Linked DNA regions of Kluyveromyces lactis. The protein of the gene in region 1 interacts with the protein of each later gene in a biochemical or structural test. Links are inferred from orthologs where the notes say so. Each region holds a gene or a part of one and is shown in the gene's direction. Other genes may lie near its edges.

Region 1 (4,232 bases):
AACCCCATTATCGACTGTGTCTAAATCCCAAACGTTCAAGGATTCATATGGTACACTTTCTGGAGCCAAATACGGATTAAATAGGGCATCCCAAGTGTCATCACCGGCAAAGAATATTTTCTTGTTATGCAGATAAAGCTGTTTTATTAAGTTATCCTCATCGATCACATCACCATTGAAATTCGATCCTGCATCTATAAATGTAGGCAAGGAACCTGTTGTCAATCCCTTTAATCTTTGTAGCGTAGTTGTGGGAGGATCAGCCAAAAACTTCAACAAGACAGAATCCGTTGAGTTATGGGCCGTCTCATAAAGAACTTTCAAATTGTTATGATAATTAGGGTTGTACTTGGCATGATTTTCATCTACTGGAATAACGAAATCAAACCTCAATGCGTCCACTATTAGTAAAACCATCTTATCGTATTTAGCTTCGAAGGGAAGCTGGGGATCAAGTTCTGCAACGTTATCCAACACCGTCCTTGTTAAAAGGAACCCTTTTGCGAAAAATGCTATGGAAATAAACTGCAATACAGCCAAAGAAGCAAGTAATAGTATGTACAGAGTGTGCGTAGACTTGAACCTTGATATCCGATAGCTCATTCGACTGGACCTCGTTTGAGGCCCCATTATGCTGAGTCTAATTCTCTCTGCCCGATCTCGTTCATCACTAACAGTGGGATTCATCACTTCTTACCAGTTTCCAAACGGGACAAAAACACAACTAAACGAAAGTACAATAAATTCACGTTGAATAATGATATTGTGCAGAAGAATTGAGTCACACTGGCGAAAGTGGTTCGCTTATCTCTCGCCTCTGACAGAGTTCTTGTTACCACTTTATTTCATTTTAAAGGTTAATTTCTTTTAAAACAGAACAATTGTACATCACGTGATCATTGTTCCCTCTTCAAATAATGCAACTCCAATTCTGATCGGCGAAGATACTGACCATTGAGCTGAGTGGATCCATGGTATTATCAACGGTGGCAAGGGCTCATTAGAACCTTGTTTATTTCAATTTGTTCTGTTTTCTTCTTTAGGAAATGTAACTATGTAACCAAAAATGTGTAAAATCTTAACGAGTTTCACTTAGTTCACTCAAAGCATCTCAAACAAGATAACATTATCAATTGAAAGGTGATATATCAGGGAACCTAGGATTATTTAGCTGCTTAGTAGGTTTGATAAAATTGCTGAATTAGCATTTGGATAATAGTGGCAGTATATATCCATAGAACACAGGAAGACAAACGGTTAACAATATTATGTCCTCACCTCCAGCTCAACAACCAAGTTCACCAAATTTGTTTTATGATCCTAGCTCTTCTCCAGCTCCTCATGGTACACAGGATTCCCAGGCATCTCAAGACCGAGGCGTAGGCTCTTCTCCGTTTCACTATCCTTCGTCTTCGTCAAATGCCACGCAAGAGACGGCTCGCGCCGCTCCTAGTAGCAGTGGTTTAAGATCTAACAATTTGAGATCTGATCTATTGAACTATTCATCCTCTCTATCCTCAAGTGCAAGAGAGGGAAGACACTCTAGATCTAGAAGAGGCGAAATTAATGCATCTGACTTATCATCTCCCAGAAGAATTGTCACTTTCAATAACCTTTCCTCATCGGATAATGGATTTTCATCATCATCGAGACCTGCATCTGAAGCTGCTGATCAACCTTTGAAGATCATCTGGGGTACCAATGTTTCGATCCAAGAGTGTGGTAACAGTTTCAGAGAATTTTTGATGTCTTTCAAGTTGAAATATAGAAAGGAGCTAGATGATCAGGAGATTTTCATCAACGAAACAACAGACCAAGAGCTGTATTATGTGAATCAATTGAATCAAATGAGACAACTCGGTACTTCAAACTTGAACCTTGATATCAGAAATTTACTGGCTTATAAACATACTGAAAAGTTGTTTCATCAGATTCTCTATTACCCTCAAGAAATTATAGCTATTATGGATCAAACTGTTAAAGATTGTATGGTATCCTTAGCACTTGATAATGGGTTAGAGAGTTACTTGAATGAAATTGAATCGAAGTTGTTCAAAGTGAGACCATATAATGTGGAAACCAAAAAGGGTATGAGAGAGCTTAATCCTAATGATATTGATAAATTGGTGAGTATCAAAGGTTTAGTTCTAAGATCCACACCTATTATCCCAGATATGAGTGTTGCATTTTTCAAATGTAACGTATGCAATCATACTGTAGAAGTTGAGATCGATCGTGGTATTATTCAAGAACCAGTGAGATGTCCCAGAGTGGTCTGTAATAGCCCAAACTCCATGGTTTTAGTTCACAATAGGTGCACTTTCCAAGACAGACAAGTGATAAAGTTACAAGAAACGCCTGATCTAGTCCCTGATGGACAAACTCCACACTCTGTTTCCCTATGTGTATATGATGAGCTGGTTGATTCGTGTCGTGCTGGTGATAGAATTGAGGTTTCAGGTATCTTTAGATCTATTCCAATCAGGTCGAATCCAAAGCAAAGAGCCCTCAAATCTCTATACAAGACATACATCGATGTGGTTCATATCCAAAAGGTGGCTAAAGATAGAGTCGGTGTGGACACTTCTACTGTTGAACAACAACTCTTGCAGAACCAGATTGATAATGTGGAAGAGATTAGAACTTTGAGTAGCGAAGACATTAGGAGGATCAAAGAAACTGCTCGCCGATCGGATGTCTATGATGTTTTGTCACGTTCCATCGCACCAAGTATTTACGAGTTAGATGACGTCAAGAAGGGAATCTTATTACAACTCTTTGGTGGTGCTAATAAAACTTTCAAGAAAGGTGGAAGATATAGAGGTGACATTAATATTCTACTATGTGGTGATCCTTCGACCTCTAAATCTCAAATTTTACAATATGTTCATAAGATTGCTCCTCGTGGTGTTTACACTTCGGGTAAGGGTTCCTCTGCTGTTGGTTTAACTGCTTATGTTACAAGAGATGTGGATACTAAGCAACTGGTGTTGGAAAGTGGTGCTTTAGTTCTCTCTGACGGTGGTGTGTGTTGTATTGATGAATTTGATAAGATGAACGATAATACTAGATCAGTATTACATGAAGTTATGGAACAACAAACAATCTCTATTGCAAAAGCAGGTATTATTACAACTTTAAATGCTAGAACTTCAATTCTGGCTAGTGCCAATCCTATCAACTCTAGGTACAATCCTAATCTTCCTGTGACTGAAAATATTGATTTGCCGCCTCCATTATTATCAAGATTTGATCTCGTTTATCTAGTGCTTGACAAGGTCAACGAAGCGTCTGATCGTGAACTCGCTAAGCATTTAACCAGTTTATACCTGGAAGACAGACCGGATTCTGTATCTCAAGGTGATATTCTACCAGTTGAATTCTTGACAGCCTACATCAACTATGCAAAACAAAACATTCACCCGGTAATAACTGAGTCAGCCAAGACTGAACTTGTGAGGGCATATGTCGGTATGAGAAAGATGGGTGATGACAGTAGATCAGATGAAAAAAGAATTACCGCAACAACAAGACAGTTAGAAAGTATGATTAGACTTTCAGAAGCTCATGCTAAGATGAGGTTAAGTGAAAGAGTTGAACTTGAAGATGTGGAAGAAGCAGTGAGACTGATAAAGTCTGCCATCAAAGATTACGCTACGGATCCTAAAACTGGTAAAATTGATATGAACCTTGTACAAACTGGTAAATCGGTTGTGCAAAGAAAATTGCTTGAAGACTTGGCGAGAGAAATTTTAAAGATATTGACAGAAAGGACAACAGACACAATAAGTTTCAACGAACTAAGCAAGCTTATAAACGAACAATCGCAAGATAAAGTGGAGAGTATCGAATTATCAAACGCTTTGACAAGATTGCAACAAGAAGACAAGGTAGTAATCTTAGGAGAAGGTCTAAGAAGATCAATTCGTTTGAATGGCCGTGTATGAATAGATATTATCAAGTCTAGTTTTTCTGAGAAAGCCTCTACATAGTTTGCAAAGGGCTAAATGAGAATAACGACCTTCCGCATGTTCTGCTTATATACATACGTTCTGTGTATATATCATCGTGAAAGTGTTTGACATTATAATAGCATATTTAGTTAGAGTAGCCTAAAGAAAGGTCCCCCGAGATCCATCTGTTGATCATTTCCATAGTAGCTAGTGGTTGATAATATGGAACCGTATGACCTGCTTCGAATACTCTGAGGAAAGTAAAGGGTCCGTGGTTTT
Region 2 (2,885 bases), on another chromosome or scaffold:
AGTAGCATACTAATTATGCTCAGTTCGTCATAAAGCGACATTATCAATAGGTGTTGGTAATACTTGTTATCTTTTTTAGTCTGTTCAGTAGAATATGATAAGTCCGTCCTTGGGATAGGAATAATTTTGACATCGTCATCCTCTTTTAATGATAAATCTAAGGTTGATATCAGCTTAAGTTGGCCATTGGTGCTGGCCGCCAGGATGCTATGGTCATTGAATTTTGGAATTATAATTGAAAGTACCGGATAGTGATGATAATTAGTGGAAACAATATTTCTTTCCACCTGAAAGCTATTATTTATTTTGACTGTTCGCAGTTCATATAAGATGAGTTTTCCTGTATAGCAAGAAAGAACGACGGAGGTAATCTTAGAATTAGGATTATCAATAAACTTGCTCCGTACAACATTCTGACCTTGGAATAAAACTGTATCAAGTACCTCACCAGAAGAGACGTGTGTGATTTGAACTAAAGAGCTTTTCACGTATTTGGTTACAAGATGAATCACAGTAACCAGTAAATTATCTAAGACGTCACTGGAAATGACCCTTGCTTCAGAAGTTGAATCAATGGCAACTTTTGGTGAAATTGATAAATACATGCTTATTTTCCCATCACCAGCGATTTGATGAGAAGATGACTTGAGCGCAGCCGCTTCTATAGTCTCCTGTAGTGAAAATGTTTCTTTCTTCAACGTTGCGTAGTCTTCCGCTGAAACGACATTTCCGAAATCAAACACATCCTTTTCAACAACTTCTTTATCCTCCTTGGTCTCTGTAATATCTGAAGTCGATGCTTGCTGTTCTATAAGATCTTGGGAAGGTAGATGTCCATCTTCCATAATTTCATGTTTCCCGTCATATTCATCTGTCTGTATTCCGATATCATATGTTATCACAGCCTCCTTAACAGCGCTCAATTCAAACTCATTTACATCATCTGTTTGCACTGAGATCTCAACAGTTTTTACTTCTTTCTTGACTTCAGATTCGTTGTTATTTATGGAATTGGTGATATGGGAAATGAACGGAAGGGTACAATCTGCTATCTCTTCATGTTTCGAATCAATTTTTTTCCTTTGCAGCTGAAGAGCCTCTATTTTCTGCTTCATCAACTGTAAGCGCTCATTCTTGTCCATATTTCTGGGTATATTCCCCCTGAGGTTGGTGTTGCTGATGAGCGCTTCTTCACTGACGCGTTTTATCTTGCTTCATGTATGGATTTGTTAAGCGTAAACAAAAGATGATAAATAAGATTTGAGTATTATCAAAAATACGATGTTACAGTAAGTTGGATGAATTTCACAATAGGTTGGAGGATAACACATTGCAAGTAAGTCCTTCTTGTCTGAATACACCTTTACAGCAATTATAAAAGCCACCCCGGTGTACTATCCGAACACTTCCTCCGCTTTGAGTCCTGGTGGTAGGATCATATTTCTTTAGTACAATGAGCATTGATATTGACGACATTCTAGCTGAGCTGGATAGGGACACTACAGCTGTTGAACAAAATGCTTCTTCATACCCAGACCAAAGCGATCGAACTCAAGGCAATGATGTCTCTCAGATAAGACCAGCAGATAAGGCGGTTGACCCTGTGGCTCCCACACAGTTTAACAAAATTGACGACTATCAAAAGCTAATTACACATTGGAAGAATGAACGTATGAGTCCGGAGCTGCTTCCATATCCACATCATCTCATGACTAGGACATTAATAAGGATTCAAGAAAGAATTGAACTAATAGAAACACTATCAATGGGATACTTAGAAGATAATCAAGAGTTAACTGTCGATTCAAAGCTACCACTTTTATGCATGGAAGCAGAACTTGAGAGATTGAAGTTCCTAGTTCGATCTTTCATCAGATGCCGGTTAAGCAAAATTGACAAATACAGCATTTACCTAAGACAACAATCCGAACTACCCAATAATGCGGGCCTCAGCAGACTAGATTTATTGATGTCCAAAGAAGAGGTGAAGTACCATATGAAGCATTCTGACATATTACTAAAACTGTTTAACAACGCAGTACTTAAGCACTTACCAGAAGAACTGCAAGCCGTTAACGATACTGAGGGTTCCATCAGTATGATTGATGAACCCGATTGGAATAAAACTGTATTTATACTAGTTTGTGGTGGGGTAGTTGACGAAAGTGGTATTGATTCGAAATTAACGACCGATGATGATGGAAAACACTGTTACTCAGTGATTATTGAAGATTTAAATGAAGAAATTTACTTATTAATCGGGGCAGTATACGTAATACGTTATAGTGTAATACGAGATCTCATGACTGAGGGACGAGTAGTTTTAATATAATGAAAATTCTGAACAGTATTACTGAACCTATGACTCTTCGAAAAATATAGGTTTGTAACGAATGTTTGCCAGCAATAATTTCTCAACAATGTTATTGCGAACACAGCATGTTTTCTACCTAGTGTTATTGACTGCTGGTCTATAGTGCTTTTGAACCAATTTGTATTAGTATTACATCAATTAACGTTGAAAAGTCTATCTAGCATACTCAAAGTGTACCTATTTTTCATATTTACTGTATGCAAAACCCATCCGGCAAGCATATGATCAGCTCAGAGAAATCCTTCAATATCTGGTTTCTGGGCTTGGGCAAGCTTAGCCCTTTTGGTTGTCTGCGGTTGAGATTGAGATAACGACACTGAATGTATTCTTTTCAATCCTGTAGTCGAGTTCATCTCAACGACAGAATCTAATTCCTCGATATTTTGCGAGTTGGCATCTATGTTACTGGAAGAGGACTGGTTTATATTAGATTTGGCATGTTGTGATGATCTAGACTTCATAAATTCCATAAACTTAGGGACTAAAGCTAACTCCTCCTGTGTCTGTTTAT
Region 3 (2,684 bases), on another chromosome or scaffold:
TGAATTGATTATCCCATTCAGTTTATTCAAATCGAGTTTTTTCGATACTGGGTCAGATTTGCCAGTTTGAGTAGCTTGCGATGGTGGTAGACCTATGGAATTATCATCGGTCAAAGTCCTGAAGTCAAATATATGGATATCAATCCCCTTCTTGAAAACTGTAGTCACAAGAACTGAATCGTTTGCGGAAGTGACTTCCTCTTCCACGTTGGAAGATGGAAGCTCATACCAGCTTTTCGATTGAGCCGCAGCCGATCTTTTGAATCGAGGTAAAGATGACGATATCAATGAACGATCAGTCAAGATATTATATACCAATGGGTTATTATCTGATAATTTGGACCCTGCTAAAATAGTGGTAATTAGCCCAGTAGACGAATGTGGTAGAACTGATAGCGTTTTATTCATGATTTCAAGGTCTTCCATATGACATTTCAGTTGATCGCTGTTACTAAGAATCTTATCCTGATTCAAAAATAATTGTAGAGATTCTACCAAATTCTTCTCAGTATTATCCACTTGAATAGATTCTAGTTTCTCCAATTGATTTTGATAACTGTTTCTCAATTCTCGATATTCTTGTGACAAATTTACAAAGACATGGCTGTTTGTATGTCTTTCCACAGACGGCAATCCACCATACTTGCTGATAAGGAACACCTTGTCGATATTTATGGGCAAGTTACTCACTAGAGATGATAAGAATCGAGATGGATCGCCAGCCAATTTCTTAAAAGCTTCCTTCTCATGGTACTGATATGGCTCAATAATCGGAATAATATGCGGGTTCAAAATCGGAAGTTTTACGTCAATTGAGCCACGTTCACCGATGGTAATGGGATCTAATACGATTATTGACTTCAGACTCTGATCATGCAAATGATTGTCCAAACGCTGACTTTGGTATGATATGTCTTGGCATAGCGGGTCTACTATTAAAATTGGTCTTAGTCCGAGTGTTTGAATTCTTGACACAGTCTTGCTAAACCCACTAAGTACGTTATCTGAATATTCGGACAAATGTCTCAAAAATACAAGACAGTAGTGATGATTATTCTCATCGGTATATTTGTTCAAATAGTCTTTCGCTTCCCTTTTAGTCACTGTAGAATTCAAAACGCTCATAACCAAACTCCTGCCATGAGCATTAGGTTGATGGTATCTGACCTCTGTGGTCAAACACCTAATCCATGTTTTGATCATAGCACTAGCCCACAAAATGTGCCTTTGGACGTTATATGATGAGATCAAACCATTTATCTGCAAATATGGAAAGTGTATAAAACCATCATTTATTCTAGTTTTATCAATGAGTCAAGTCATCAGAGAAAACTGCCAGTTTAAAGCTTTAGTTAGTCTTTCCTGTTTTTGTTTTTCCTGTGCTGGATTTCAATGTCAAGATTGAACATGGAAAAATAATTGAAGCACAGATATCGATTGGTCATAGTCGCGCATTGAAAGCACTATGTAAGGAAGTAGTGAGCTTGAGGACACTATAGATTAGCAACTCCAACCTGAAATAGAGATGGCACTACCGAGAGATCTATCAATAGGATTTTCTCCCCAAGAGATACAGTTTTTAATTGAAAATGAACCGACACGAATTATGCCCAGAATCACTACGAGGAAGACCAAAAAACAGCTCGCGAAGGATCCTGGCGCCCAATGGTCACTGATCACATGCGATGATTCTACGGTAAATAACATGGTTGCAATGAATAGTTGCGAAGTCACGTTATGGCTGGCTTTACTGTTAAAACAACAGGGAAAGTGTAACGTCGTGGTACCCAGTTGGCTGACGTTACAACAGCTGGAGAAGTATTTAGATTTTGAATTGAAAAACCCATCACGATTCTCCAATCTACCCTGGAATTGGCTAGTGGTATCGTCACTGCTGTTTGCCAGATGCAGCGATGATTTTCAGGATCCAGTTCATCTACTGAGATCTAAGGTCCAAGATCTGCGAGAAGTTCGTTTGGGAAAAGTCAACAAGGGTTTGCAGTACCTGAACGAATCGCATTTACAGCTAGAGAACTTGTCCTTGATGGAAATCAATGAGATGAGACCCTATGCGTGTGGTATCATGGACAAACTGAGGACAATTCATGACTCCAGTAATGACACCACGTGATCAATAATATAATAACCTTTTCCCATTGAATCCAAAATTCCATTCACGAGGTTTCCACCAGTCCCTCCCCTTAATCCAACCTACATGGTTATATGATAACACAGTTGACCATAATCACTAGAAAAGGTCGGGTTACCATGTAAGTACAGGCCTATCAAATAACACATATATTACATACCCTACATGTACCCGCTTCACAGTTTGTAGTAATTCGAAACAACTGATCCATCCCGAACATTCACGCACTGCTTAGTTCTTATTTACGTTTGTGTCGCAAACATGCCTCGCGGGCATGCCTTGCGTGTGCACCCCACGTTCTTGCTTCATCATATTTGTTGTTCTTCAGGCTATTTCGGTTCCTTGCATTGAACTACGGGTATAACTTACAGAAAACGACACAAGGGGGGAACACAAACACGGAAACGAATCACGTTTCTTCAATATTACGTTGGGAAAAGAATTTACCGTAGATAGAAAACAATAACAGTAGAAATTGAGCAGGATGAACTCATAGAGAGCAGCATGGTTGCGTTGATAACTTCCCGCTACGAAG

What was found.
Region 2: the proteins of MCM4 (region 1) and SLD5 form a complex in vitro, tested with the Saccharomyces cerevisiae proteins (2 studies listed by BioGRID). The link is inferred for Kluyveromyces lactis from reciprocal best matches to the Saccharomyces cerevisiae genes MCM4 and SLD5.
Region 3: the proteins of MCM4 (region 1) and PSF2 form a complex in vitro, tested with the Saccharomyces cerevisiae proteins (2 studies listed by BioGRID). The link is inferred for Kluyveromyces lactis from reciprocal best matches to the Saccharomyces cerevisiae genes MCM4 and PSF2.

What each region holds. Positions count from the first base shown.
Region 1 is NC_006039.1:1,537,422-1,541,653, reverse strand, and holds MCM4 (MCM DNA helicase complex subunit MCM4), read left to right. Parts: upstream 1-1,268; coding exon 1,269-3,947; downstream 3,948-4,232. Other genes in the region: mannose-ethanolamine phosphotransferase GPI13, read right to left, coding at 1-687; KLLA0_C17490g (S10 family peptidase), read right to left, coding at 4,099-4,232. UniProt on the Saccharomyces cerevisiae protein: Acts as a component of the MCM2-7 complex (MCM complex) which is the putative replicative helicase essential for 'once per cell cycle' DNA replication initiation and elongation in eukaryotic cells.
Region 2 is NC_006042.1:1,023,525-1,026,409, forward strand, and holds SLD5 (DNA replication protein SLD5), read left to right. Parts: upstream 1-1,453; coding exon 1,454-2,332; downstream 2,333-2,885. Other genes in the region: PAC11 (dynein intermediate chain), read right to left, coding at 1-1,142; serine/threonine/tyrosine protein kinase RAD53, read right to left, coding at 2,605-2,885. UniProt on the Saccharomyces cerevisiae protein: Required for DNA replication. Functions as part of the GINS complex which plays an essential role in the initiation of DNA replication by binding to DNA replication origins and facilitating the assembly of the DNA replication machinery.
Region 3 is NC_006040.1:558,045-560,728, reverse strand, and holds PSF2 (DNA replication protein PSF2), read left to right. Parts: upstream 1-1,525; coding exon 1,526-2,131; downstream 2,132-2,684. Other genes in the region: ARG2 (acetyl-CoA:L-glutamate N-acetyltransferase), read right to left, coding at 1-1,203. UniProt on the Saccharomyces cerevisiae protein: Functions as part of the GINS complex which plays an essential role in the initiation of DNA replication by binding to DNA replication origins and facilitating the assembly of the DNA replication machinery.